Linked DNA regions of Mus musculus: all the other regions are reported to be linked to region 3. The links are microRNA targets in miRTarBase. Many come from high-throughput screens and were not tested one by one. Region 3 holds a microRNA gene; each other region holds the end of a gene's coding sequence.
What was found. Region 3 holds the annotated microRNA mmu-miR-3572-3p (UACACUUGUCCUUCUUUCCCCAG, at 1,610-1,632, shown strand). A microRNA usually pairs through its seed, bases 2 to 8, with sites in the 3' UTR of a target mRNA and lowers its output. Matches are read on the target gene's strand: a 7mer-m8 pairs with bases 2 to 8, a 7mer-A1 pairs with bases 2 to 7 and ends in A, and an 8mer does both.

Region 1 (8,308 bases), not on the chromosome of region 3:
TGGCCATCTACACTAATAGTGTATTTACTGCTGTGGATAGTACCACAATAGAAATGGGTGTGCAGATAGCTCTGCTATTGCCTGCCTTAGGTGCCTTTAATGGAATTCTGCTTTTTGGGTTTTTTTGAGGAACCAGTAATTTCTATAGTGACTATTATAATTTACATTTTTACTCTAATATGTATGAAGCTTCCTTTTTTTTCCCCCCACATCTTTACCAGCGTTTGTTACTTTTGGCTTTCTTGATAGATGGTAGCCATTTCCATTGATGTTGGATAGAATCTTGGTACTATTTTTGTGTGTCCCTGATGACATGTGGAATGTTGATATTTTTTTTCATACATTTATTATCCATTTGTATTTTTTTGATAATTTCCTGTTCGGATGAAAAATAAATTTTCTATCTATTGGTTAGGTAGTTGGTTGGTTCTTAGTATTCAGCTTTTTGATAATGCTTTTAAAGTTGTAAGAATATTGAAATAGAAGTATGTGTGTATCCCAGACTAGCATCAAACTTGTGATCTTCCTGCCTCAGTCTCCCAAGTACTAGGATTACAGGTATGTGCCATCCATGCCTGGTCTCCAGCAAAGGATACTATATAAACAAAACAAAACAGAAATACCTTGAACTTCAGGAATTACACAGATGTTTGAGAAGTTCTTTATATTTTTTCACAGAATTACTTTTATGTAATTTTTCAAAGAGTATATGACTCAAAAGTGATAGATAATGATACCAAACAAGTCAGAATCACAAGCAAGAGCATTGTGTCTTTCCGCAGGCAAATCTGTCGTGCAATGGTCTGCTGGGATCCATGAGTCCTAGGAAGGGGTGTTGATGCTGACACCTGCTGTAGGCTACTTGGAAGGATCTGAAGCTGCTGCTTCTTTTCCTTCAGTAAAAATACCCTTCTGTCCCATTCTAATTGTAAATGCTGCTTTGGTTATAAATCTTTCTAATTACAGCCTTGTTGCATTAGGACAGAACCCAGGAAGTAGAAGGAAGGTATTGACCTCAGGTCTCACTTTGACAGAATTAGACAAGGGTCTGTAAGGCAGAGTGCTGTGTGGCTGATACACTCAAGGCAGGGGCTGGTTTCTGACAACAGCTGCCCTTTAACCAGCTGGGACAATTAGAGCAGAGAGCTTAGCTTTCTATCAACATCTATCTGTGGTCGAAGATCAGTGAATTAATTGCTAACACCTATGAGTCTGAAGCTGACACTCAGATCCTCTGCCATTGCTATCATTGCAAGAACCCAGCTTGATGCACCTAACAGATAGAAGCTTTGACTTAAGGACTCATGCCTGAGAGTCACTTTTCCTCTTCTTTTTCAGAACTGATATACAAGGAGGTAATGGATTTGGAGGAACGAACTAAGAATGGAGTCATAAGAGGGCAGCCGTCTCCTTTAGGTTGGTTACAATATAAACCTGGTTGTGATTGTGCCTTGCATCTTGTGTTATAATCTTCAGAGGCCTGGAATCTGCAGTTCTTCCCATGCTCACTCAGTTTGGTAGTTAAATTTGAAAGCCATGACACACTATTGTCTTGATGCATTTGCTGATTTAAAGCCAGTTTTCATTGACACCACAGCCATGTCTTTAAATAAGAAAAAATCCCTTAGAGTTCCTTATTCTTTGCTTTGAAAAGTCTTCAGTTGGAATAGATAAAAACTTCACCACAAAATTTGCTAAATTTGCTATGTGTGCCATCACGTTCTGACGTTCTTTTTAGTACGTTAGTCACACTTGAATACAAGCTTCTGAGGACCTCTTGTCTCTCAGTGTTCTGCTCATCACTGTACAGAAGGGGGACAAGTGCGTCAGCAGAGTCCTGCCTGCTCGGCTTTAGCATCTTGGGGCCCTGAGCACTACACACTGTTTTTGTTCTGTATATGTATTTTTGAGAACTTAAGTTCTTGTACTTCTATTTAGTGAGCTTATGGCTTGAAAGTTGCTCCATCTTGTTGAGATGCTTTAACATGTTCTTCCCTCTGAATGAGGCTTCCCCCTTAAAAGGATTTCTGTCTCTCCATAGGTTTTCCTGGTTTTTGAGCTTTTTCATTTTTTAAATGCATGAAATGCTTGTTCGATACTGCTTTTTCACAGAGAAAAGCATTTTCTCTCTGTTTAGTAAGTTTGTATTTGTTTTTGCCTGGTATTTACCTGGGTCAAAGTATGCCTGAGTTTACCTACTAGGCTGTTTTGGTTACCTGGTAAGTGACACACTCTCTTGTAGACTGGCCACTTGGTTCAGGTCCCTCCTGATCAGATGCTGGTCTTTTTTTTTTTGGTTTTTCGAAACAGGGTTTCTCTGTGTAGCCCTGGCTGTCTTGGAACTCACTTTGTAGACCAGGCTGACCTCGAACTCCACCTGCCTCTGCCTCCCAAGTGCTGGGACTAAAGGTGTGTGCCACCACTGCCCGGCTTTTTTTTTTTTTTTTTTTTTTTAAGATGCTGTTCTTTTGTGTTGGCTTCTACTTTGTAAGATGGACCCAGGAGTATCACTTGAACACTGTGGTTTTTGTGAGACTATCAAAAGTAATTTTCTATACTATTTTAGTTCTCAGGCTGTTTTTAGTTACTTGGATCTTAGAGATCTTCTCTCCAACAAAATGAAGTGTAAGCAGTTTTGTATGTACTCTCAACTCTTTTGGAACACACCCTGAGGCCCATTTATGGATCTTGCTGTAGGGCCATTCTCCATGTTACTTGGATTTTAACTTCTTGTCTTAAACTAAAAATGCATTATGGAAAGGAAAACAAGTATAGGTTTCTAGACATTTTCACAATTCTCCCTTCGTAGTTTGTGTGCATAAGAGAACATTAGTGCTGGGTTCAATACGATTCAGCAACCCGTAAGCCCAGGAGAAGTCTATAGACCCTGAAGGTAGGTAGCACAGGCCAGGCAGCCCGGTCTGCAACTCTCTCTGCAACTGGTTTGCTGTTTTGTTTCTCATAGCACAGGTGCAGCAATGATCAATGGCTCTCAGCATCCATCGTCTTCGCCGTCTGTCAATGACATGTCTTCAATGTCCACAGATCCGACTTTGGCCTCGGATACAGACAGCAGTCTAGAAGCATCAGCTGGACCTCTGGGCTGCTGTAGATGACTACTTGGGCCTTGGGTGGGTGGGAGGGATGGGGAATTGGTTAGTCATTGATAGAACTGCTTTAAAAACAATTCAGTGGTCATATTTTTGAGTGATTTTTCAGAAAATGTAGAATTCATTTTGTAGTAAAGTAGTTTATTTTTTTTAATTTCAAGTGTTGTAATTTAAAACTTAAGTTGTGTTTTTAAACAGCAACAAAACTGTATTGTATTTTTGCTGTAATTAACTGTATAATGTAAACCTAATTATTTTATCATGGTTTAAATTTTGCATATTTGCTTTATCTTATGCTGCTGATTTTTTTACTGAATTTGTAAAATTTTTGTTTATCAAAGCAACTATTATGTGGTGACTTGCATATATCATGAATTATTTAAGATGTTTATAAGTTTTTTATTAGAATTTATTTCAGATGTTTGTTCATGATGCTATCCTTCAGGGTTATGTGCTTATCAATGAAATAACCCCAGAGGAATAAGGGAAAATAACCTGTAGCCAGTTATATTCAGGAATAACTACTGTAAATGATGAACGCATCAAGAAACCTCCAATATTTGCTACTTGCCAATCCCAACTTAGTTAAAACAATTGGTAGGCAACCTTACCTAAATTTTAGCAAACACCTTATCTAATGGCAGAATAACTCAGAGCATGTCTTTAAAGATGCTGGGCACATCCTTCTCCATTTTGAATCTCCTACACCAACCCAAGAAAAACTTAAACTAAGGAATGTGGTATATTCTGATCATCTGTGGCATGCTTAAAGCTTTTGATCACACAAAGTTAAGAGGACACTTCATGAATCTACATTTCCGTGGAGATCAACAGATGCTTCCCCTGTCCTGGCTACGAGCCTGCTTCTGTAGACACTGAGTTAATCTCCTCAGGCTGTAGGTCCTGGCATTGGCCACGAGCCTGGACTTTCCCTGTTGGACAGCTTCTGGCCTCTGGCCTTTCCCAGTTCCTGTTCCTTAGCGGGTCAGTCTGTTGAGCACCAGTTTGTGGTGTTTCTGGCCATTTGATTCTACCTGTAGCATTATCCTGTTTCTACTAGCTGTCAGGAGGTTCCAAAGCCTACTTAAACTTGTGTAGGTGACATTTAAATGAGCAATATGCCGTTCATCTGAAAATAGTAGCACACAGCCATATGTAGGATGTCATTTTCTAAGGACTGTTTCTTCACAGTGAGCAGAGCAGGCATAGTGGTGGTTCTTTCATCTGAGTCTTTGGTTTTTTATATCTGATTTCCAGTATGGACGTTGAGTAGTGTAAGAATGGTGCTGCTCCTGACAAGTGTGTGTTAACTGTTTACATTTTATATCTGCAGAATCCTTTCTCTGTAACTGAATTTTCCTAAGTAAAATGTCATCAAGGTCTCATTATTTCTGAAATGATGTCTATAATGCCCAGGCACCTTTGGTATTATCTGGAACAAGAGGGATTTCATGTAATGAACTGGGAAATGCATACTTCATGAGCTGCAAGGTTGTAGGAAGGAGCCCGGAGCCCCTTGGAGCTCACAATCAGCAGGAGTAAGAGCGGGCACAGCTTGGCAGATTTCTGAAAGGTTGCTTAGCAGGTTCTTTTGTTTTGGTTTTTGGATTTTTCTTCTTTTGGTTGCTTTTTAAAAACATTTAGTGTACAATTACTTTCAAGTAAGCTATTTTAAGTCTTGTTAATGTGCAATACTTAAGATTAAGATATTACCTTTTTAAACATAGCAAGTTTATCAAGATTTCTAGCGTCCCATCTTTTAGTGATTCCTTTTCTATATGTACAACATGGTGCATTTATTTTATTAGACAAGTATGAATTTGAGACTGTTACGCCTCTTGGTTCTAGAAATACAAGGTTGAAGTCAGGATTTTAGCAGAAATTGGAGCATGAGTGTGTTCTTATTTTATATTAGTTTTGCATCTAACTGGTTTTGGTTTTGCCGTGATAAAATGTGTCACTATTGCACTTACCAGCTGATATGCTGTAGTTAGTTTTCTGTGTTTGTGTTTGATTGCTGAGAAGCCATCTTCTTCATTCAGATTTCGGGTAAGTAAGGAATACTAGTTGTTTGATTGTCTCATCTGTTGTAATTGCCAGCTCCCACTTGCCAGCAATCATGTTTCAGTTAAATTTAAAAAAAAAAAAAACAACAAGCTCTCAATGCTTAATGTAAGCTGAAATACCTAACAGAGTATACCTAAAAGCAAGGTCTGTTTGTTAAACATGTGCCCAACACATTAAGATCCACTGTACACACACACACACACACACAAAACACACCACTGTGTTTAAATCTTTTAACATAAATCCTACTGGTACTTTTAGAGTCTTAAAGCATCTTAAGTATTTTTTTAAGAAATTACAAATAACATTTCTGTCTATCAGTACTTATTAAGCCACCCTATAATTTGACTTTTCAATTATATATACTTATGATACCCATTGTCTTACTGTCTAAAAGTTGTTTAGCTGAGAATTAGCATTCCACTTCATGGTTTAGGAAAGAGAGCCTTATTCTTCCTACATGTCTTCCTGGTTACAGGTCTCGTACCCACTAATACATAGTGACCATCTGTAAGATGAGCATGTTGTTGGGATTGCTTTGTTATAGAGCATCTCACTCTTTAATGCTATTTGCTAGTGGTTTTTACTGTGTCATGCCATGCTGCTGATTGCCAAATCTCAGAAGAGTGCACACCAGAAGCAAAGGCCCAGTGTGTTCACACCTGGCTAGTAAGAGAAGCAGTAGTCCCCACCAATACAGAGAAGCTGGTTGTGTACAAAGCTTGCCTGTCAGCCTTATCCCTCAGTTCTGAGCTCATCTCACTTTGTTACCCTAAGACGTGGAGGTAGAAAAGACACTTGACAGGATAGGATGAGCAGTAGGCAAGGGAAGCTGTTTCCTGAGTTACAAAAAGAACTTGGTTTACATTATTGGCCAGTTTCTGCCGCACACATGAAGACATCATCAGTGTTGCCTCAGCGCTAGCCTGCACGGCATTTTGAGATTGAAAAAAAAAACCAACAACATAGTATATTTTCAGAAATACTGTTGTAGTTTGTGAGTGTTGTTCATTAGTCACTCATTAGTGTAGAGTGGATGCATGATGCCCCATGACCCCAGTAAGTCTTACCAGTGAGTAGAATACCCAGCACCGTCTCTCACCCGTAGCCCTCTTCAGCATTGCCTCGTGGCTTGTTGCATTCTAGTGTGCATATTCTAGTGTGCATTGTGTTTCTACTGATCTCTTGGGTGTTTCCTGTGAACCACAGGAGGCACATTTGTCCTAATCGCACGAAAGAAAGATGAAAGAGATAAGGGCATTGAAGCAGAAATGTGTGGTTTGGGGTAAGATAGGAAAATTGTGTCCTAATTAATTTCAAAGTAACTGCTCTTAGGCAAATTGCTTTTAAGGGGAGTCTAGTAAGCAACTTTCTGGGCACTTCTGGTTTAGATTCTCTTCATTACTGAAACTCCTGAGAAATATTACCTGTGGATTAGTTTTGCACAATGTCCTATTCTCACAATGACTTAAAATTAAACTAGGTTTTTATTGAACTACCTCACACTGATTTTCTATGCTTTCCCAAGTAAGCTGTAGCCCTTACTGTTTGACCTTTACTGAGTGTAAATTATAAATGTGCGTTGAATACTTTCTAGCCACTGTTCACAAAATACCAGTAAGCATGTGAAGTGCAAACCTTGCGTCAGTAAGAGACAGTCCCGTGTAGTCTTCCACTGTGTCTGGGGAATTGTGCTGCATACGCTTATTGACATCCTCACTGTTTTTGTAAGAAACCTGCTCGAGATACCAGTCCATGCTTTACATTTTACAGAAGGAGAAAATCTTAGTAAATTTTACGAAGAAATACATTACTTTTGTAGGCCCAATATTTGGTATATTTTTGAGAAGCTGTTAATCTTATAGCGGAATGATGAAGTTACACTGAAGTAGCTGTCTGCCTGGACTGTGATGTCTGTTTTCTCATTACGGTTTACCCTGTTAATAAGGTTTTAAACCTCAAAACATAGGATGATAATTAGATTTTTTCCTCTTTCCCTGTACATGTCATTCCTTCATCCCGCCCCTTCCGTGTGCTCTCCTCTCTTCTCCTCTAGACAAAACAAATGGGCACTTTGTAGGGAATGCTGGGATCGTTACCGTGGGTTATCGTTCATGCCCTAGTCATTCAACATGCACCACTGGGTGTAAACAGTGTTATCTAGTGTGTCAATTGGTTATAATATTTTAAATAAAAAAGAAAAAGTGGTATGAAAGTAAGAGTTCTTCATTGAAAGCAAAACAAAATTGTGTTTTTTCCTGGTGGTTTTAGGGTTTCCTGTGGACTGAGGTAAGGTTGTTAGTAGGGCAGGTGTCTTAGGTTTGGATTTTATACACATTGTCATCCCGGTTTTAACTGCTGGTGTATGGCTTGATCTAGGCTTACTGTTCTTATGTTTCAAATCACTAGAGGAACTTTAAGAAAGAAACTTTGCTTCAGTGCCCTTTGACCTAGTAACTGCATGAGACAGCAGCCATCATGGCCAATTGGCAAAAATCAGTATCAGACCCGAATCTGTCAAAAAAAAGAAGCAGGTTTGAACATGGAGCCAGTTGTATCTGCTCTGTCCACAGGTTCTCATCACTGCTAATGGGTGAGCTGCATGAAGGTGTGCAGGGTCCCTCTAAGTGCTAACCCAGCCCATGGGATGGCGTTCTTCCATCTTGCCTGGCTTCTGTCCACACAGCCTTTGTACCCATGCCATCCTCCCCTGCCTCTGCATACACTAACACTGAAGCCATGTCCCTGCTGCCTTGGCAAGCCATGAGATTGCTGAGCTGGTGCCTGCTGTCCTGCTACTGTCATAGGTAGCGAGATAGAGTAGCAGAGCTTGAACCAGAAGGTTAACCTCAACCTGATGTTGAATTGAGTGATCAAGGTTCCCACTCAGTCATAAAGTGGAGTTCCTTGTGTGGCTAATACAGGTGTTGCATTTTTTTAAAGTTTTTGTTGTTGTTGTTGTTGTTGTTGTTGTTTTCTCAAAATCTGTCAAACCTAAATGAGGGTGATTTACTTGTATTGATTTTAGGTTAATTTTTTTTAAAGCTATTTAAGCTTATATACCAGGGGTTGATCCTACTAGAAAATAAGTTAACTTTCAAATATGCTTTGAAAATGTTAGGTTTCCAACA
Region 2 (7,761 bases), not on the chromosome of region 3:
ACATACAGACAGACAGACATAAGTGGTGCGTATGTGAAAAATAGAAAAATTCTTTTTGCTCTATCAGTGGTTTGTCATGGCCTCCAAAAGGCTAACTGCAATTTGATCTGAGGACACAAGAACAGAAATGCTGTCACAATGAGGGAAGTTGCTTTCTTGACATTTGTTAGATCATGCCCAGAGGCCATGTTCAAATAAATTGGAATCTAATCAGAGGCAAACAACAGGGTGGTAAGGACCTTAAAGTAATACAGAGAATAGGGAACAACCACAGAGCATAAAGAGAAGCGTTGGGTCCATAAAGCTGCCGTCAGATGCCTAATTCTAGGTTGCTTGTCTGAATGTGTAAGTCTACTTCCCACCCTCAAAGTTATCCTCCAGAAACCTAAGAAGCACCTTTCATGTAAGCTCCCTCTCCCTCTCCCTCTCCATTGATTTTTGTCTCTGTGACAGATGCGTATGAATCCCATACCATGGCACCTACATCCTGTCTCAACCTGACCGCCAATCCCTCTCCAGTTCCTGCCAGACTCCTCTGCTGCCCACTATTTTTCCACGAAGCAGGCTGCTTTACACTTCTGTGCCATTCATTGTTCTTTCCCTTCTGTCTCTTCTTCCTTTGTCTCATTCTTCCTTTAGGCAAACCTAAAGATGCCATCAGGGTGCTATCCTCACATTCTGTTCTTGCTTCCATTTGCTAGCCTGTATGTTGTCCTAGGTTCCCCAGACTCCTCCATGGTTCTCTCTGCTTCCCTTGGTTCTTTCTCCACAGCCGAGCATAGTAGGGACCAAGAGGGAGCAAGTACACACTGCTGGAATATCTATCCATGTGTCTGGATTTATTGGCTTCCTCCAAATCACTTATTGGCTATTTCCTTTCAAGTTCTTTTGTCAGAATACTAAACATCCTACATCCTTAGTCTGGCAAAACCTCCAAGGTATTATTAATTTATGTTTGTTCGTGTGGATACTCAAGCACATGTGTGTATGAGTGCCAAGAAGTCAATGTCTATGACTTTTGAGACAGGGTCTCTCAGTAAATCTGGATATCACTGACTGGTCTCATCTGGCTGTCCAGTGAATAGTTCCACACACCTCTGCCTCTACAGTTGTGGAATTACAGGCACATCCTGCTACACCTGGATTTTTATGTGGATTCTGGAGATCTGAGCTCAGGTCCTCATGTTTGCACACCAAGCACTTTACCAGCTGAGCCTTCATCGTGGACCCTGATGGAGTGTGTTTACATGGTTTCTAACCTCTGTCACACAAGGTGACTTCGAAGACCAATGAACACTCCATCCGCACATTCTCAGCTGCATTAGGTGCTCCCAATTGAGCCCTTAGGTCATTGAGAAGGTTTCCCCTGAGGACTGGGCTATTAACATAATCTTAACATAATCTCCAGTATTAGGTACCTGGATCTCTCTCTCTCTCTCTCTCTCTCTCTCTCTCTCTCTCTCTCTCTCTCTCTCTCTCTCTCTCTGTGTGTGTGTGTGTGTGTGTGTGTGTGTGTGTGTGTGTGTGTGTGTGTGTGTGTCAGCAGTAATATTACAGTATGGAAATTAAGACTTCTCTCTGTCCATGTCCTCATTTTATACTGGAGACATTTGATGCAGAAGCTTATGAAATTCCCACAAGTGTGTGATCTGAGGGACTTTTAAAGTACTGTCTCAGTCCCTCTTTGTTGCCTTTTAACTCTTTTCCTTTGTGGTTAGTGCTATTAAAATAATGACCCAGACACTCCTCCTGGTGGTCCTCTACCTGATCTGAAAGGATAAGCTTGGAGGAGGGAGAGCCACAAACTTGCCCCGTAGTGCACTCTAAAATTTGCCAAAAGATGTCAACATAGATTTAAACCAGCAGAACGACGAGGGTGGGAGGGCTGTCAACTAGTCATGAAGGGGACTGCATTGTGAGGGTTAACTACCCCCTACCTAACCCCTGCCCAGAAGCCCCCATTACAGTGTATGACTGCCAAAACTGGTTAAAAGGTTAATCCAAATGTGTCACTGGATTAAATAAATTTCTTTTTCCCCCTAACAATCAGGGTAATTGCCACTAAAATCTTGCCTTGTGATTTGCATAAAGGCTCCATAAATACCCTCTGAATGAACACAAGAATGAATGAAAAGTAAAAGTAAGAGTGGGAGGAGAGAGTCCATGGATATAGTGCTTATCTGAATTCCTAAAGGATGCTGAGAAACAGAAACTGCTACTCTACAATAATGGGTATTTTCAGAGATACATCTTAGTGGCGTCGGTGGCATTTCAGAGATAACATCAGTTACGTTGTAGAATAGGTTCAGAGAGATAAATGAAGATACTTTTGGCCTATCCTTCGTTCCTACTCCCAGATTCTGTGCTTGATGATTGTTGATTCCATGAAAATGTATAAAGTGGTTTTTAAAAACAAAGAATACCTTCCTGTGATATTTATAAGGCATTTGTAATATGATCAACCGTTTTTCTGGGATGAGGCATGTCCCCAGCCCTGTCCTCCCTCATATTTGAAATGGTTCCTTAAATAAGCATTTAAAGGACTGCAAAGATTCTTTTTGAATCAGACGCATCGGCTAAAGTGCAATGTTGGAATGTGTGGCACGGTTATAGAAACACAAGGCAGAATTTGCATTCTAGAAAACCCTTTAAGTAGAAATACAAATAAGACACTGTAATTCCGTATGAAAAGTCTAAGTATATAAGTGCTATGGCAACACGGGGCAAGAAGGAATGCCAGTAGCCTTGGCTTTCTACTTGAACTAGACTTGAAAGGAATATCATCTAGTCCTCTCTGTGTCCTTCTCAAAGAACAGGTAGATGAAGCACTACTGGTATCACATGACAGAGACATGCCAGAAGGCCATGAGTCTGAGTTAGGAGAAACCTTGCCTTGTTCGATAGGCCAGGTAGTTGAGAAGGTCCTCTCTGGGTCCTTCTCAAATGACAGCCACAATTCCTTCAGATAAAAAGGACAAAATCAGAAAAGTTGCCAGACATTCTCTGAGTTTCCTTTAAGAACTATGAATTCTCAGTATTTATTGTTGCTTTCCTACCACAAATATACTCCTGCAATGACCTCATCCTTCATCTACATGAGAATGGTAATTCCTGTCTCACAAGAAGCACAGTTGTGGGAGAATTTCTCTCTTTGATCATGCCCAACCACATAGACCTTGATGCATCTGGGGTGTGGGCCACAAGTATAGGTATGCTATGTATGTGTTTGAGTGTGTCAGCCAGTAAGTTCAAGTATCTACTAGACTGCTGTTTATGGAGAGAACTTTATCTATTTGTAACTCGAAAAGAAATACAACCATCCAGCAAAGATTCCACCATTCTTATTCTTCAGTGAATGAAGAAAAGGGATAATTTGGAGCCTGGGGATGGTACGGTGTAAACAAAGACTGAAAGGAAAATAGATGCTTGCATATATGCCATTGGCAGCTGCATGCCTATTTTCATCCTTGACTAACCACTGTATTTATTTCTAGGGGCCCTGGGATGCTCTGCCTGTCTCTCCCATTTTTCCAACGTACGAGCCATGATATTCTGGCGATAACTAGAATAGAGAGTATCATGTCAATAGTTTTAATGTGATTTTTCTTTCTTTTTTTTTCTTAACATTACCAGATTAGACCATGTTATTGGAGAAATGTTTGTACATTGTTCATAAGAAACATTGGAATTTTAGCTCCTTTATCAACTCCATTTCACCCTCATAAGTCATTTGCTTCAATTGAGTCTCCATTTTGTGATTGGTTTAATAAAAATTTAGGGTTTTAGAGTATAAAATAAAATTGGGTTGCATACTGGACCAATAACATCACTGGGAAGAGAACAAAGTAGGGCAAAACATGACAAGGTTGTTATCCAGAGTCTTTTTCATGCCTGGTGTGGATACGGTGTCAGGAAATTAGATATCTGGTCAGACTCGCTGGATAGAAAGAGGGCACCACAACATAGTTCACAGAACAGATGCCACCACCTGTCATTCCTCTGTTGTTTTCCTTAGTGACCATGAACATCACCTATGCCATACACCTTCCTGACTGCACTTATGTCAGGCGCACTTCTGACTATTGTCCTTTATGCTTTATCCATAGGAACTTCCATTACATTACCATCCTGAGAGACCCAGTGTCACGGTACTTGAGTGAATGGAGGCATGTCCAGAGAGGAGCAACTTGGAAAGCATCCCTGCACGTCTGTGATGGAAGGCCCCCAACCTCTGAAGAGCTGCCCAGCTGCTACACCGGTGATGACTGGTCTGGATGCCCTCTCAAAGAGTTCATGGACTGTCCCTATAATCTGGCCAACAACCGCCAAGTTCGCATGCTATCTGACCTGACTCTAGTGGGATGCTACAACCTCTCTGTCATGCCTGAAAAGCAAAGAAACAAAGTCCTTCTGGAAAGTGCCAAATCCAATCTGAAGCACATGGCGTTCTTTGGCCTCACTGAGTTTCAGCGCAAGACCCAGTACCTGTTTGAGAAGACCTTCAACATGAACTTTATCTCGCCGTTTACCCAGTATAATACCACTAGGGCCTCTAGTGTTGAGATCAATGAGGAAATCCAAAAGCGTATTGAGGGACTGAATTTTCTGGATATGGAGTTGTACAGCTATGCTAAAGACCTCTTTCTGCAAAGGTATCAGTTCATGAGGCAGAAAGAACATCAGGATGCCAGGCGGAAGCGTCAGGAGCAACGCAAATTTCTGAAGGGAAGGTTCCTTCAGACCCATTTCCAGAGTCAGAGTCAGGGTCAGAGCCAGAGCCAGAGTCCAGGTCAGAATCTGAGTCAGAATCCAAATCCTAACCCAAATCAGAACCTGACTCAGAACCTGAGTCACAATCTGACTCCGAGTTCAAATCCCAATTCGACCCAGAGGGAGAACCGGGGAAGTCAGAAGCAGGGCTCAGGCCAGGGACAAGGTGATAGCGGCACCAGCAATGGCACCAATGACTACATAGGGAGCGTAGAGACATGGCGCTAACTGGCACTCAAAGGCTTGTGCACACTGCTTCCCAAAGCATCACCAAAAAGATGGCGTGTATCTTACAAGATGAAAATGTCCAAACACATCCTGCTTCCTTCATTTGGGAAGTTCAAAAAAAAAAAGTGTAGACGTTGCCTTTACAGTTGCCTTTTGATTCAGTGTTATGCTGTGTGTGGGTACAACAAATCTCAGTGTGTAATTAAATTGTCTGTTTTGGGATGAACTACTTCTGAAATCCAAGAGCCAAACCAGACTCACCAGAAATTGCAGCTTAGATATTTTAAGACGTTCTTAAATTAGGTATGGGAGACACAAAGAAAACATGAAATGTGGCCGTTTAAACTTATGGCTAAGAAACAGACTTTAAGTGATTCCGGATACTCTGTTAAAACTCAGTCTTGAAAGCACCCCCCCTCCCTGCAGGGAAGTATAAGTAAAAACATGAACAGAACTAAAAGACACTCAAAACTGTTCATTTCCTTGTTTTAACAAGGAGCCTATTTAAACAGAAAAACAACTGATGATAAATTTTGCCAAACTGTAGAAAATAAACAATTTCTCACTTAAATGTAGCTGGGTTTATGTAAAAATAATGGCTTTTCAAATAGATCGGGATTCGTGTCTTGTAACTTAACAGATGTTTAAAATTTAGAATTTTTCTACCTTCTGCTGATTAAAAGGTTTTAAACAGGGTATATCTCATATTAACAAAGCATTTTTTCCAAATGGAATACCAATGGAAAGATCCAGTTTCCAGATGGTTTCTGGGCACTGTAATTCCAACAATTTCGATCTTTTTGGCGCTGCTTCTCATTCACTTTAAGGCTTCTCCGAGTTGTGCTCATTCCAAATGAATCCATGTATAGAATTTTTCTTCTTCATCTAAACAACGTGTTGCTAAATCTCTTGTGCTATTTAATCCTGGACTAAAGTCAGGACTTTCTATAGAATTGTCTTATCAATGTCTGTGTAGTAAGGTCCTTAAGAAGAACTCTCAAACAGAATAATTTGTCTCTTAATATTGCTGAAGTTATTATTCTTCATCAGATTGAACTAAACCTGAATGTGAACTGTTAATTATCTTGTTTATTGTAATGTTTCCAGTTTGGCTGGCTATTTCTGGCCCATGGTTCTTTTCTTGTATTGACAGATTTGTACACAATAATAAGAGCAAAAAATTTTCTCAAAGACAACAGTAGACTAATCATTAAGATAGCCAGAGTTGCTCAATAACACCAAAAGCTGCCTCTTGATAATTGAGGGGAACACTTCTACCAGGATTTTGTTTGTGAAAGATCAAAAATAAAGAATGTTTTGCAGCGAAGCTAAGTGTCAGGGACGTGCAAGTAGAGGAGAATAGTTTGATAGTCTGCATCTGTGAAGAGTATTTTGATGGTTTCAATTACAAATGGAACAAAGGAAGAATTATATACACACTGTGTTGTGAAATATCATACTGCTTGGCAGTTTACACCTCATGGTTGTTGCTACACTTCTATAAGAGCTTACATTAATCCCTTGGCTTTCAATCAAAACAAGGTGACCAGAAGTGGTATTCATGCTTTCAAGAGGGACATGCTTAGAAATATGATCATAAAGTCACATCTGTCATAGTCTGCCCAAGTGCATGACCTGGTTTCATCTGTAATAATATGGCCACAAGTTTGGCAAGAAGTTGAGTATCTGGCTCTAAAGAGATTTTCTTGACTCTGAGCTCTGTGACAATATTTGCAGCTTTTGTTTTGTGGTATTTGCAGTGTTGAGAATGATGATACCTAAAAAAAAATCAAAAAACAAAAACAAAAAAATGAAGAAAAAACAAAAACAAACAAAAAAAAACTGGAAGGAATTTTTAAAAGCACATCTTGAAGTCAAAGTATTTGGTGTACATTGTGTTCTTGAAAACTTCTGTAGATCACTATGGTATTTCAGTAATTTTAGTTTTAATTGAAAATGATTGTTCTTAAAACTGACAGTGTTGGAAAGCAGGACGAAGTCTGAGCCAGTGGAAAAGCTCATTACAGAAAAAAAAAAGTGTTATTGCTGTGGTGTGCATGGTTTGCAGAGATTAAGTGCATTTTCTCTGTCTCTACTGATTATTGTATATAGAGAATGTTATAAATATACATTTTTGTCATCATCATGTAAATCCCACGATTTCAAACTGTAAACATCTGTTCAGTGGTGTAGCTTTACAAACTGTTCACTGATTTTGTGTAATTTATCAATAGATGTGAAATAAAGTTTCAATTGCAGGCTGTGAGTAATCTCATGATTTCAAGGTTTATAGCCAGTAGACATTGTGATACCATAAACAAACCAGAACAGGAATCGTTTCAAAGACAGTGTTTTTCTTTACACTTGACAGCTAAGTATGAAAATGAGATGGCCCATTTTAATACTCATGCTGAAATGGCCTTAATTTGGGATGCTTTTTCCTTGGAGGCCATGATTTGAATAAAACAAAATTGTTCCTGAAATAAGGTTTGCCGTGCAAATGAAGTGAACCCACGTTCTCATTTAAAGTGTATATAGTAGATGCTTTCATATATCATAGAATGCACAAAGGGAAAAAAATAGCACTCTTAATTACTTACCTCCTTTTATCCACAAGAAAAAGGTTAAAGGTAAGCATTAATATTTTGGCCTTGGGGTCTGGAGCAGTTAAGAGCACTGACTGCTCTTCTGGAGGTCCTGAGTTCAATTCCCAGCAACCACATGGGAATGAACCCCAGCTCACAGCCATCTGTAATGGGATCT
Region 3 (3,000 bases):
TGTGGGCAGGTCACACAGGGAACTGTGGCAAGAAGTTAGGAAGTATGAGAGGTGGGCTGTTGGACTGAGGACTCTTTGGTCTCTTGAGGACCCAAATAGCCTGAGAAGTGATCAGAAAGTCAGACTGCCTGTGCTGCACTGACTGCAGGAAGCACTTCCTGAGAGAGGAAGGCAGTATGCGGCACTTCTGAATTCCTTTAGATCCTAATGAATAAACTCAGCTCTGTCAATTTCTCCTACAATAAGAACATATCTTAGGAGACAAGAATGTTGTTGAAGAAGCCCAGAATTCCTTTAGGCTAATAGAAAGGACAGTCTCCAGTGGGAGGACCTAAGTGCACACTAATGAAGCTAATTTGGGGACCAGGGTTTAGGAGCAGCCAGAGTAATGGAGTGAGGAGGTGGGGCAAGGAATCATGGGGGTGGGCTTAGTTCTGCCACCTTATCAGGCCCCTTGACTGTCAAGCAGAAGTCCCAGGAAAAATGTGAATGGCCAGTTTTCTTTGTGATTTTTGTGTGGTGGTCAGAAGGCTAGGAGGCAGTTTGGCATGGCAGCCTGGTTGTTGGAGCGTAGTTTAAGTAGGGATGCCCTGGAGCACTGCATTTTTACAGTTTCATGATTAGCTGACATTCGGAAGGAATTGATTGTCCTAGTTCCCTTACGCTTAAACATTTAGGCTGATCCAACTAATTGCAAATTGAGGTTGGGATTTTTGTTTTTGTTTGTGTTGTTTGTTTCTTTTACAAGAGCATCTCGCTGTGTAGCCTATGCTGGCCTGAGCTCTCCAAATAGACAAGGCTAATCTCAGACTCATAGAGGGCTGCCTGTCTCTGCCTCTCAAGTGCTAGGATCAAAGGCATGTGTCACCACTTTAGGTCTCAAGTTCAGGGTATTTGAGAGTTTCCCTTGGTCTCTTGTCTTAACCTAAACCCTGTCAGATTCATGTGGGCTATAGGGACAATGTCCGGGGAGGACTTGGGACAGCTGGGTGGGCTGGAAGTAAATAGGTCTTAAACCTGAAGGTGATTGAAGTCTCCTAGGTGCCTCAGAGAATGTGGACAGTTAATAGCAGGTCAGAGGCAAGGCAGGAGGACAAGAAGAGGGTGGTGGATAGGGGACAGGCTGGTCTAGTACCTGACCCTTTGTTTTTTCTTTCTTTCTTCCTGCAGTCTCCAGCCAAAAATGGCTCCAAGCCTGTCCACAGCAACCAGCACCCCCAGTCCCCAGCTGTGCCGCCCACCTACCCCTCTGGCCCCCCACCTACCACTTCTGCCTTGAGCTCCACCCCTGGCAACAATGGGGCCTCTACCCCAGCAGCACCTACAAGTGCCCTGGGCCCTAAGGCCAGTCCAGCTCCCAGCCACAACTCGGGTACTCCTGCACCCTATGCCCAGGCTGTGGCCCCACCTAATGCCAGCGGGCCCAGCAATGCCCAGCCACGGCCCCCCAGTGCCCAGCCAAGCGGGGGAAGTGGTGGTGGCAGCGGAGGGAGCAGCAGCAATAGTAACAGTGGCACAGGCGGAGGGGCTGGCAAGCAGAACGGTGCCACAAGTAAGTGGAGACCAGTTTGGGGAACAGGGCAAGGTGGACAGTAGCTGACAGCCTGTTTACACTTGTCCTTCTTTCCCCAGGCTATAGTTCGGTTGTGGCAGACAGCCCTGCAGAGGTGACCCTGAGTAGCAGTGGGGGCAGCAGTGCCAGCAGCCAAGCCCTTGGGCCCACTTCGGGCCCTCACAACCCAGCTCCCAGCACCTCGTGAGTAGTGGGGTGGCAGTGTGTGGGCACAAGCTCTTATGCCACTTGTTTTAGGGTTCCAAGTTCTACCCTTCCTGGGTAGTACCTACCCAGTGTGTCCTTTCTTCACCTCAGCAAGTGTTCTTTTCCCTGCTTCTTACCAAGTGGGACATGTTTTACTCTCGGTTTCACACTACACTGTCTTCCCATTTCTGTTCTTTGCTCTGAGGCAGCTGACTCCCATGAGTGTGGGGGCTTTTCCCTTTTCCAAGTAAAATATCCTAGTCCTCCATTTCTTCAGCTTGACATCAGATTACTAATGAAAGATCTGCTGCCTTGTCAGCCTCGTTACCAGTCCTACTGGGATTGCACCATGTGCATCTGTGCAATCATTTACTCCAAAACTGTTTCAGTGACAATTCTAGAACTACCCTGTCCCCTGTCCTTTAACTTCATAAGCTGTTGGGGGGACCCTAAAATCCTGGTTGCACACCTCAGTACCTCTGCTGTACTGAAGAGGAGTCCAGAGGTTGGATTCACTTCTGCATGCTCCAGCTGTCTTGCTTTCAGCCCCCACCCCCCTTTTTGGATCCCATATTCTGTGCCTGTCTTCAAGGATCTTAATTTGATTCTCCTCCATTCTTTACCCAGAAAGGAATCCAGTACGGCAGCCCCATCAGGGGCTGGGAATGTGGCTTCAGGCTCAGGGAATAACTCGGGGGGACCCAGCCTCTTGGTGCCACTGCCTGTAAATCCCCCCAGTTCTCCAACGCCCAGCTTCAGTGAAGCCAAGGCAGCTGGTACCCTGCTTAATGGTCCTCCACAGTTCAGCACCACCCCAGAAATCAAGGTGAGTTTCTCGGGTGTGAGCCCTGAGCCTATCCTGCGACAGGAAATTCAATGAGTGCACTTTCCTAGAGGGGAAACATCTTAGAAGTTCTCCTGAGTGGGTGATAACGGCGTTAGCATGATTTTGACAGGAGGAGAAGCAAAGTGACACCTTGTGGAGAGACTCCTGGAAGGGTGGGGGAAGAGTAGCATGAAGGACTGAGCCTCATTGGCTGTGACTGGTGAAGAATGAGTCCCTCCAAGAGAGTTGGAGTGCAGGTCTGTGGGTGGGCTTCAGTGATGGAAGAGTTGTACAGAGTGGGTAGAAGAGCCAGCCCTGAGCTGCCTCACCAGGGAAAGCTGGGGGGGGGGGGGGGGGCTGCAGGCCCAACCCACTGATGTTCCCAAGGAGACTGAATGCCCAAGGGATGGTCGGC
Region 4 (8,308 bases), not on the chromosome of region 3:
AAAGAATTTTTTTTTTAAAGAAAGAGATTCAAGAAACACACATAGGAATATCTAGAGAACTTTAAGTCTATGGAGGACACAACTGGACAAAGTCAGGCAAGGAAGAGGGGAGTCCTATAAGCAGAAAGGGCCACAGGAAATCATGAGGGTTGTAACACAAAGAGTGTCTGTGATGTGCTGATTAATGGGACAGACACTGCTGAAGACTAAGTAAGCTTGATATTTATGTGAAATGCAAAAGGAAAAAAAAAGAGAGAGAGAATATTCTAAAACCTTACTGAGCTCCAGGTTCAAAATATCACCTAGGTACGTCCTATTCAAACTGCAGACAGCAAAGACAATTTTTAAGGAAGCAAGCAGAAAGACTCAACTATAGAGAAACAAGAATGACAGCAGACCTCTTTTGAGAAGCCATGTAAACAAAATGCGGGCTATAAAAGATCAACACCGTGCAACTTAGGATTCAATATCAGCAAGGTACCCTTTGAAGGTAAAAGGGAAATAGAGCATTCGAAGCCAAAGCTAAAGGAGTTCACCACCAGCTACCCTGATCTGCAAGCTAAGTGAAAATGGAGTGCAGAAACTAGCCAGGCATGGCTGCACACCTTTAATCCCAGCACTCAGAAGGCAGAGGTAGGTGGATCTCTTGAGTTCAAAGTCCAGTCTGGTCTCCAGTTCCAGGACAGCAAGGGCTACACAGAGAAACCCTGTCTCAAAAAAAACCAAAGTCCAAACCAACCAAACAAAACATGAAACAAAAACCTTGTATCTTCATAAAGCACACCAGTACATAAAGATGAACACAGTCTTTGGATTCTTAATTTTCTACTTCTTAATTCTTTTTTTCTTTCTTTTTTTTCTTTTTAAAGATTACTTAATTTATGTTATGTAAGTACACTGTAGCTGTCTTCAGACAACCCAGAAGAGGGCATCAGATCTCATTATGAATGGTTGTGAGCCAAGATGTGGTTGCTGGGATTTGAACTCAGGACCTTTGGAAGAGCAGTCAGTGTTCTTCACCGCTGAACCATCTCTCCAGCCCTACTTCTTAATTCTTAATTGAGCTAAAAGATAACTGCTTGCTTAAGGGGATACTGGTAATGCTCTTGAGTGGTTGTGACCGTTGACTAAGTGAAACAACTCTCAGTGATGCTACCAAGGCATTCTGAGATTTGAAATAATCCTCCTGCCTCAACCTCAAGAGCAGATATCTGGGACTACAAGTACACATTATTATGCTGACAAAATATATATTTTTAAAGGAGGCATTAGCTGGTTTACTGAGATCAAATTTATTTGATGACAAGGGTCACATAAGTTCCTTCTAACCTGTACTCTGAAAGAGCTGACAATAAGCAGAATGCCAAGAGTTCTACTTTCTTTAAGTAAGGTCCCTGACCACAGGGAAAGATAAAGGTTCTTAAGTGATTTGCATAGCATACAAATCTGGAGTGAATTCAAAACCTTGTTGACTTTCTGTATAATGGGGGTGGGTGTCAACTTTCAGTAGCATAAATTCTTGTTTTATGTGGTTCTAAGCCAGCTTGTGAAACATCAAACTGATCAAGCCTGGTATGTGCTTCAGACACAAATAAAACACATGATTTGTAGCAAACTGGTGAAATTCCCTTGCGCCTCCTGTGACACAGGCCATTTTAACAGTCCTGAACTTACTCTGACTCCCATAGGCAGAGGTTTCTCCCACTGCAGAGGTTGCTCCCACATTCAGTATACCTTACAGCACTGCCTGGGACTCCTCTTACTACCTATGTGCCTCTGGTCTTAGTCACTGGCTGGTTTACTCATAAAATGGGGACAGTTGTGGTTAGATGAGGGTTACCAAGATAACACATGTAGCATGCTTAACTCACAAGTAAAATAACTGTAGCAGTTTTCTAGGGATTCAGCTCATCAAACAGGGCAGAAACTGCAGGTGGTTATCCTGTCTTTATCCTGTACTGTTGCCTTCAGGATACAACATTGCTCTTTGTGTTCCTTGGGATTTGCAGCAGGTAGATGCAAATTAAGCCTGTTTGAAGATGAGAAATAGCACGCGCTCTCTCTCATTTGTGTTCCTAGATTTTGTAGTCACATAGAATCATATATGTGTATAAAAATGAAACAACTGTCTAGGGGAACAAACGGCCTTAATAGAGGAAACAGGGGTGTACTGCTCAATAAACAGTATATACTTGTATAAACCACACAAGGTAATTTCCTGGCACATACAAGGCAAATAAACTCCTAAGTATGCATTTTTAACATAATCATTTTAAGTTTCAGCAGGCATAATGGCAGGCATACTCCTTTCTGTTATTTTGGAGGCTGGAGCAAAAGTGTCTTACATGCTTGAAGCCTCCATGAGATACAGTTAGTACAAGGTCAGCATGGGCAACTTCAGGCCCTATAACAAAACAAAAATTACAAGAGAGGCCAGGGAAGGAAGGAGTGGTGTGTACCTGTGACACCAGTGCTTGGAAATTGCGGGGAAGATGGATTAGGAGTTCAAGACCAACCTGGGTTACATGAAACCCTCGTCTTAGAAATGGTGGTGGGTAGGGCAGGGAACAGCTACTGGTGTATTATTTCCAAGGGCCTGGCTCAGGCTTCAACCAGAGCAGTTCTCAACCTGTGCAGGGACATCCTGTGTGTCAGATATTTACGATTCCTATCAGTCGCAAAATTACAATTATGAAGCAGCAACAAAATAATTTTCTGGTGGGGGGTCACCACAGCATGAGGAACTGCATTAAAGCGTTGCAGCATTAAGAACCACTCCTTTACCACAACAAAAACCCTGAGGGTGGGGTAAGAGCCCGTTTCTAACATGTGTTGGTAATTCATATCGATATCCATCCTGCTTCCTTTTCAGTACATAGCATCTGGCTAACACCAACCCCAGGGAGGTGAGGATGGGCCAGGTGGGGCATTTTGATAGGTTTGCTGGAAGACTTCATCACATAGGCCTGGGAGGCACAGTCTCCGAACTCCCCGCTGTCAGGCGCTACTGGCTCCACTCCTGCCTCTCCGGGGCTACCCTTTGACAGACAAGAAGCCACTTCTCTTAAGCCCTTCCTTGCTTTAAATCGAGGATTAGTACCATCTTTATCTGTGAAGAGTTTGCTGAGCCATGAACTGTCCACATGGCGCACTTCAGGTCCTTTCAGACCCTCCCCAGCCCTCCATTGGAAAGGCTACACTGTTTCCATTACAGAGAAAAAGTGAGCGATTTGGTTGAGAACTGGAGAATTCAGTTATTGGCAGAATTCAGTGGTAACAGCTTGGTTTTCACTTATCTGTGGCTCCTTTTACATACTGGAAAACAAAAACATGCAGGGGTGTTTTGATAATTAAAATACATTGTAAAAGTCCTGCATGGAGAGGTAGATGATTAATAAAGACTTGGGCCAAGCAAGCTCTAAAGAGATCCGGGGCTTGGTTTCCTACATTGATTTAACAGCTTCCTGACTTATGTGAAGATGAACACAATATAATAGCCACATACTTTCAGTATAAGTTTTTATTAAAAAGTGCATTTTGATTAATTTATGATTTAGGTAAGTTGTAAGATATCAGTATACTCTCTGGAATAATAACTTTACAAAGATTTAAAACAAACAAAAATTTAAAAGCCTTTTTATTTCCTTCACCATTATTGTTTTACAATACAAATATCACCTTGTGAGTACACACACACACACACACACACACACACACACACTCACTCATACATGAACACGCACACACACTTGTGCATGTGCACACACACAAAAAAACCTACAGAAGGTAATCCTGCTGCACATAAAATACAGAATGGATATTATATTTATATTTATATATATATACTTCTTCGCTCTTAGAAAACTATTTTGTTCTCCACGTTGGCAAGTATAGAGTAGAATACTTCCCCAAACATATGTATGTCAGGAGGAAAACTCAGAATTACATGCAGTTTCTGCACAAATATATTTTAAAGAAATAGATCTTTTTGTTGTTGTTCACCAACAAAACTGTCATGAGAGTATGGATAACTAGTTTATAGCTTTCAAGTTTTAGGTAAGTGATCATTTTCGAAACTCTCTTTAAAAAAAGATATTCATGGCTGTTTTTATTGAGTAGTTAAAACCAAACTACCAAACAGATGGCATAATCTCAGCGGCACCTGGCAGTGCGGCCTGCTCACAATATGTGAATGGGTGCGTACTCTAATTCACACCCTCTATTCTTCAGTTCAAAACAATTTTAAAACCACTAGCAGTCTTCTGATTTAATTTAGCTATAAATGTAAAATTTAGTAGTGTATACATACATTTATATTTTCATGGAATAAATAAAAACATTTAAGATTGCCTACCAACCGACCATACAATCAAGACAAGAAAGGCACTAGAAACATAGACAAATTTCTCTCCCAAGAAGCACTTTTAAATGTTAACTCTCTTTTCTGTGACATGTAAAAATCTTTAAATTTGGTTTTCATAACATCATTTTGAAAAATAAAGTTAGGAAATACTTAGAAAAATCACTTTATAACAGATTTTTTTTTTTGCACTTTTTGATACACCGTCTCTGCTGACTGTATAAAACCCCAGGCGAGCAAACCTCTCTGGACCTATCGTCTTCAGCCGAGCATCAGTGCAATAGGCAGAGAGATTCTAAATCAACTCCCATGCAGACACTTAGGACCCTTCATAGAGACATTTACTAGAAAATGGCTTACAGCCCTGTCTTTGGGGCAAGAGATATGAAAAGTATGTTTTCCCAAGAAAATAACACACTTTATTTCCAGATATGGCTGGAAAGGCCGGAGCTTAGGATACAGAAGCACACGGTGGTGCGGCTGAATGACACAGAGGGACACGGTGGCTGCCTGTTATAGAAGCCCCAAGCTTAACAACAGGAAATGTCTACAGTGCATGATGTGGGAACTTTTCTTTATTGTTGTCCAACGCGGGTCCTTTGGAGAGAAAAAAAAAGATCACAGTGCTGAGCAGGTAACGCAATAGGTTAAGTCAAGGTAACTTGAGAGATAGCAGGGGGAGGTGGTTACTTTATGGCATCTTCTGTCATGGAGTTCTTAGCACTTCGGACTGTTCTTCATTCCCTAGTCGGCAGAGCTGTTATGTGTCGTTTACCAGCCGGCTATATTTAACTTGCCTACTAAGGTGGACTACCGGCCAGGGGAAGGGCCAATGGTAAGATCGAGGTACAATTCCTTGGACATTCTTTTCAAAGTACTGAAATGGCCTGTACCACCACACCCTGGCCAGGAGGTTCATCTGGGAGGCTTCCTTAAGCACCTAGGAAAGCAAAGAACATACACATTTGTTTGTTTGTTTTTCAATCTTACTGTCTTCCCTTTAAAATATTTCCCATGTTAAAATTCAAAGGATCCCAGACTTGCTCCACACCCACCCACACAGCCGGGCTTCACTCTGAGTTCACCACACTATACCCTGGACACGTCAGATTCCAGGAGAGCAAGGGAAACTGAGACGCCCTCAATTTGTACCTACTAAATATCTCAGTCAGCCCTTTCTTCACTCTCCTTGGATCTTAACTTCCTGTGCTCCTATATAATAAATGTATATTTATAAATGTTATAATAATATAACATATATAAATATAATAGATAAAATATATTTAATACCTTAGTTAAACGTAACTATGAAACTAGTGATGGGCCCATCACAACCAAAGGTTAGGAATGCACCGTAAGTGCGGATACCATCTTGGAGATTATTTTTTTCACAGATAGTAAGCACATACGTTTCAGAAGAAAGTGGTATCTGTGTCAATTACATCAGCACTTTACACACTGGCTCCGCAGAGGAATGGTGCTATAAAAGCCAGCACCACCTCAGGTGGTTGTTCCGAAGAAAGAGAAACTGAAAAAGACTCACAGCTTCCCCGTCTTTCCAACACCTCTTACTCCGGCCTCAGCCAGCAGCACCAAGACTGAGACAGGAGAAGTTAAGATGACAGGGAAGGGGCGACTCACTTGCTGATTGGCCATCGTGTGATACCACCAGAAGAGTCTTGTGGTGATGTAGTAGGCCACCACCACGTCCACAGTGTAGTGGTCATGCGCTAAGAGAATACAGAAGATTCCAACGACGCTGAGGAGCCAGCAAATCCAGTGGTACCACCAGAGCCGCCGAGGAGAATCTAGAAGGAGGAAACATGTGCAATAGTCCCGGTCCTAAATACCACTCACCCAATACCACCAATACCACTCACCCACGCCTCCGCCATTCTGGAGGACCGACTATCTTACACCTTTCCTCCAGAAAGCCCATTTTTGTGGGCCAGCAAACTAAAGGACTTTTTGTTTCTCTATAACTTGGGATAGAAGGAAGTGGCTTTTAATGAAATATGACTAGCAGCAGTAATTTATCTAGGGCCATAACTTATTTCATATAAGCAAAAACGTAACATAAAAGGTGACTATGACCAAATATGCACAGGTCACTGCGTTGAGCTCCATCTTTAAAAGATGGTCCCCTGACACTGCGGTGTGTGTATGCATGTCTGCATGAGCATAGACACTGATGTGTGCAGCTGTGTGTATGCCTCACATGTAGGAGCCAGAGCTTGGTGACTGAGCTGCTCTCTCGATCACGCTATGTTATGTACTGAGGAAGGTCTCGACGTGAAACCGCAGCTCACTCACCGAGTCTGCTAGTCTAACTACTCAGCTTGCTGCCGGGACCCCTGTCACCTCCACACCAGCTCTGGAACTACAAGGATGCTGCCATGTCTACCTGGTATTTCTGTGGGTGCTAAGGAGCTAAACACACAGTCTTAGCTTGGTACCTCAGGCACTTTACGCCCTGAGCTCTGGCCCTAGGCTCTGTCCAATGGCCATTAATTAAGTGCAACCTATGGATACACTGAGGTTAGTGTCTTATGTAAATCTAACTCCTACTGTGCCACATATTCCTTTTCTAAATGTATGTTTTTGAGACTATAATTTAGTTTCTCCCTTCTCTTTGCTCCCTCCAAACCCTCCCTCTTATACATCTCTTCCCACTCTGTTTCAGAATTACGGCCTCTTTTCTCACTGATTGTTATTGGATGCATTCATGTGTCTGCATATAACTATACACTCCTAATTATAGCCTGCTGAGTCTATATACAACTTCTTGTATGGCCAATGGTTTGATGCTGGACAATCTGTTTGCTGTGCTCTTCCCTGGAGAGGGATGCCTCTTATGTTTCCATCTTTACTCAGTTGTCTGTAGTTCTTTGTGCAGAGTTGGAACCTCATGGTCTTTTCCCCATCTAGTTTGGCATGTTCCTTGGTCGTCCTTGTTTAGCTCATGTTTGTGCCACAAATGCTTAGGCAGGGACCATGCAGTTATAATCCCTACAGCTACCAGCCTGCTTCCCAGGTTCCATAACTACACACTCATCCGAAAGACGGTGAGATTTGTACTCCACATTCTCAATGCGTAGGGGTCTAGAGCGCGTGGGGTTTCAGACAAAGCTCTGAATGGATCTACTGCCCTGATTTTGGAGAAGAAGGTATTGCCAACTTTTACTGGATTCTCAAGAGATCCAACTGCCATTCATTCACTCGGGCTGGGCGCATCTACCTTTCCCTGGACAGGTCCTACTCAAGATGTCTGAATCAACAAAGGAAGTAAGCAAAGGCGTGCCTCTGTGGGGGGAACCCTTGCCAGAAGGCGAGACAGACAAAGAGTAAGACACTATAACTACAGAGTTGCATATTATATAAAGGTGAAAGTTGTTAAAAGCTGAGGGGATCAGAAGGAAGAGGAGGAAAGAGGTCCCCCCGCCCCTTTGGTTGTTTTTGCAATTTTAAATTGGGTGCTGGGGGCAGAAACTGGCCACTCATATTCATACCTTAACAATACACCAAGAACAGCTACTACACATTTTCTGTGAACCTCACTGCGTATCCATGCACACCACTTATTTTACTTTTTATAGCCTCTTCCTCACTCATGAAATAAAGACTCATTTTAAAGATGAGGAAACAAAGACATATAGAGATTAAACATTTTCCCCACAGTCAGAATTCGGGGAGGGGCCGATAGTTCCAGGATCCCAAATCAGGGTTTTGTGACTCCTGCAAGGTCTCCGCACTGTCCAGTAACATGAAAAACAATTTCAGGTGTGAACCAGTAGGGGGCGAGCACCCTTATTCCCAAGGGCCCTATAGCAACTGACTCCTAAAGTTTCCACTTCCTATGGCTGGTTATGTTGTGGTATAAAGGTCAGATGCCCTGTGGATAGACATTTCTAGAATTCACTGCAGTCGATCACACAGTAAATAAACAGG

Region 1: miRTarBase lists Mapk8 as a target of mmu-miR-3572-3p. Seed matches in the 3' UTR shown: 7mer-m8 at 3,268-3,274 and 7mer-m8 at 4,407-4,413.
Region 2: the mRNA of Hs6st2 is a reported target of mmu-miR-3572-3p. Seed matches in the 3' UTR shown: 7mer-A1 at 5,122-5,128 and 7mer-A1 at 7,525-7,531.
Region 4: the mRNA of Sgms1 is a reported target of mmu-miR-3572-3p. Seed matches in the 3' UTR shown: 7mer-m8 at 3,746-3,752.

Annotation. Positions count from the first base shown.
Region 1 is chr14:33,376,982-33,385,289 of GRCm38, reverse strand. It overlaps Mapk8 (mitogen-activated protein kinase 8), which reads left to right. Exons shown (of 12, transcript NM_001310454.1): 11 at 1,339-1,416; 12 at 2,971-7,392. The coding sequence ends at 3,116. Among named protein-coding and RNA genes, the nearest start is that of Mapk8, 66 kb to the left of the region's middle.
Region 2 is chrX:51,386,707-51,394,467 of GRCm38, reverse strand. Hs6st2 (heparan sulfate 6-O-sulfotransferase 2) reads left to right here. Exons shown (of 5, transcript NM_001077202.2): 5 at 4,107-7,761. The coding sequence ends at 4,998. Among named protein-coding and RNA genes, the nearest start is that of Mbnl3, 180 kb to the right of the region's middle.
Region 3 is chr7:3,654,401-3,657,400 of GRCm38, forward strand. Mir3572 (microRNA 3572) reads left to right here and starts at 1,562; the gene lies at 1,562-1,647. It overlaps Cnot3 (CCR4-NOT transcription complex, subunit 3), which reads left to right. Exons shown (of 18, transcript NM_146176.3): 11 at 1,171-1,552; 12 at 1,633-1,756; 13 at 2,387-2,585.
Region 4 is chr19:32,119,225-32,127,532 of GRCm38, forward strand. Sgms1 (sphingomyelin synthase 1) reads right to left here. Exons shown (of 10, transcript NM_144792.5): 9 at 6,002-6,168; 10 at 3,503-5,300. The coding sequence ends at 5,121. Among named protein-coding and RNA genes, the nearest start is that of Asah2, 20 kb to the left of the region's middle.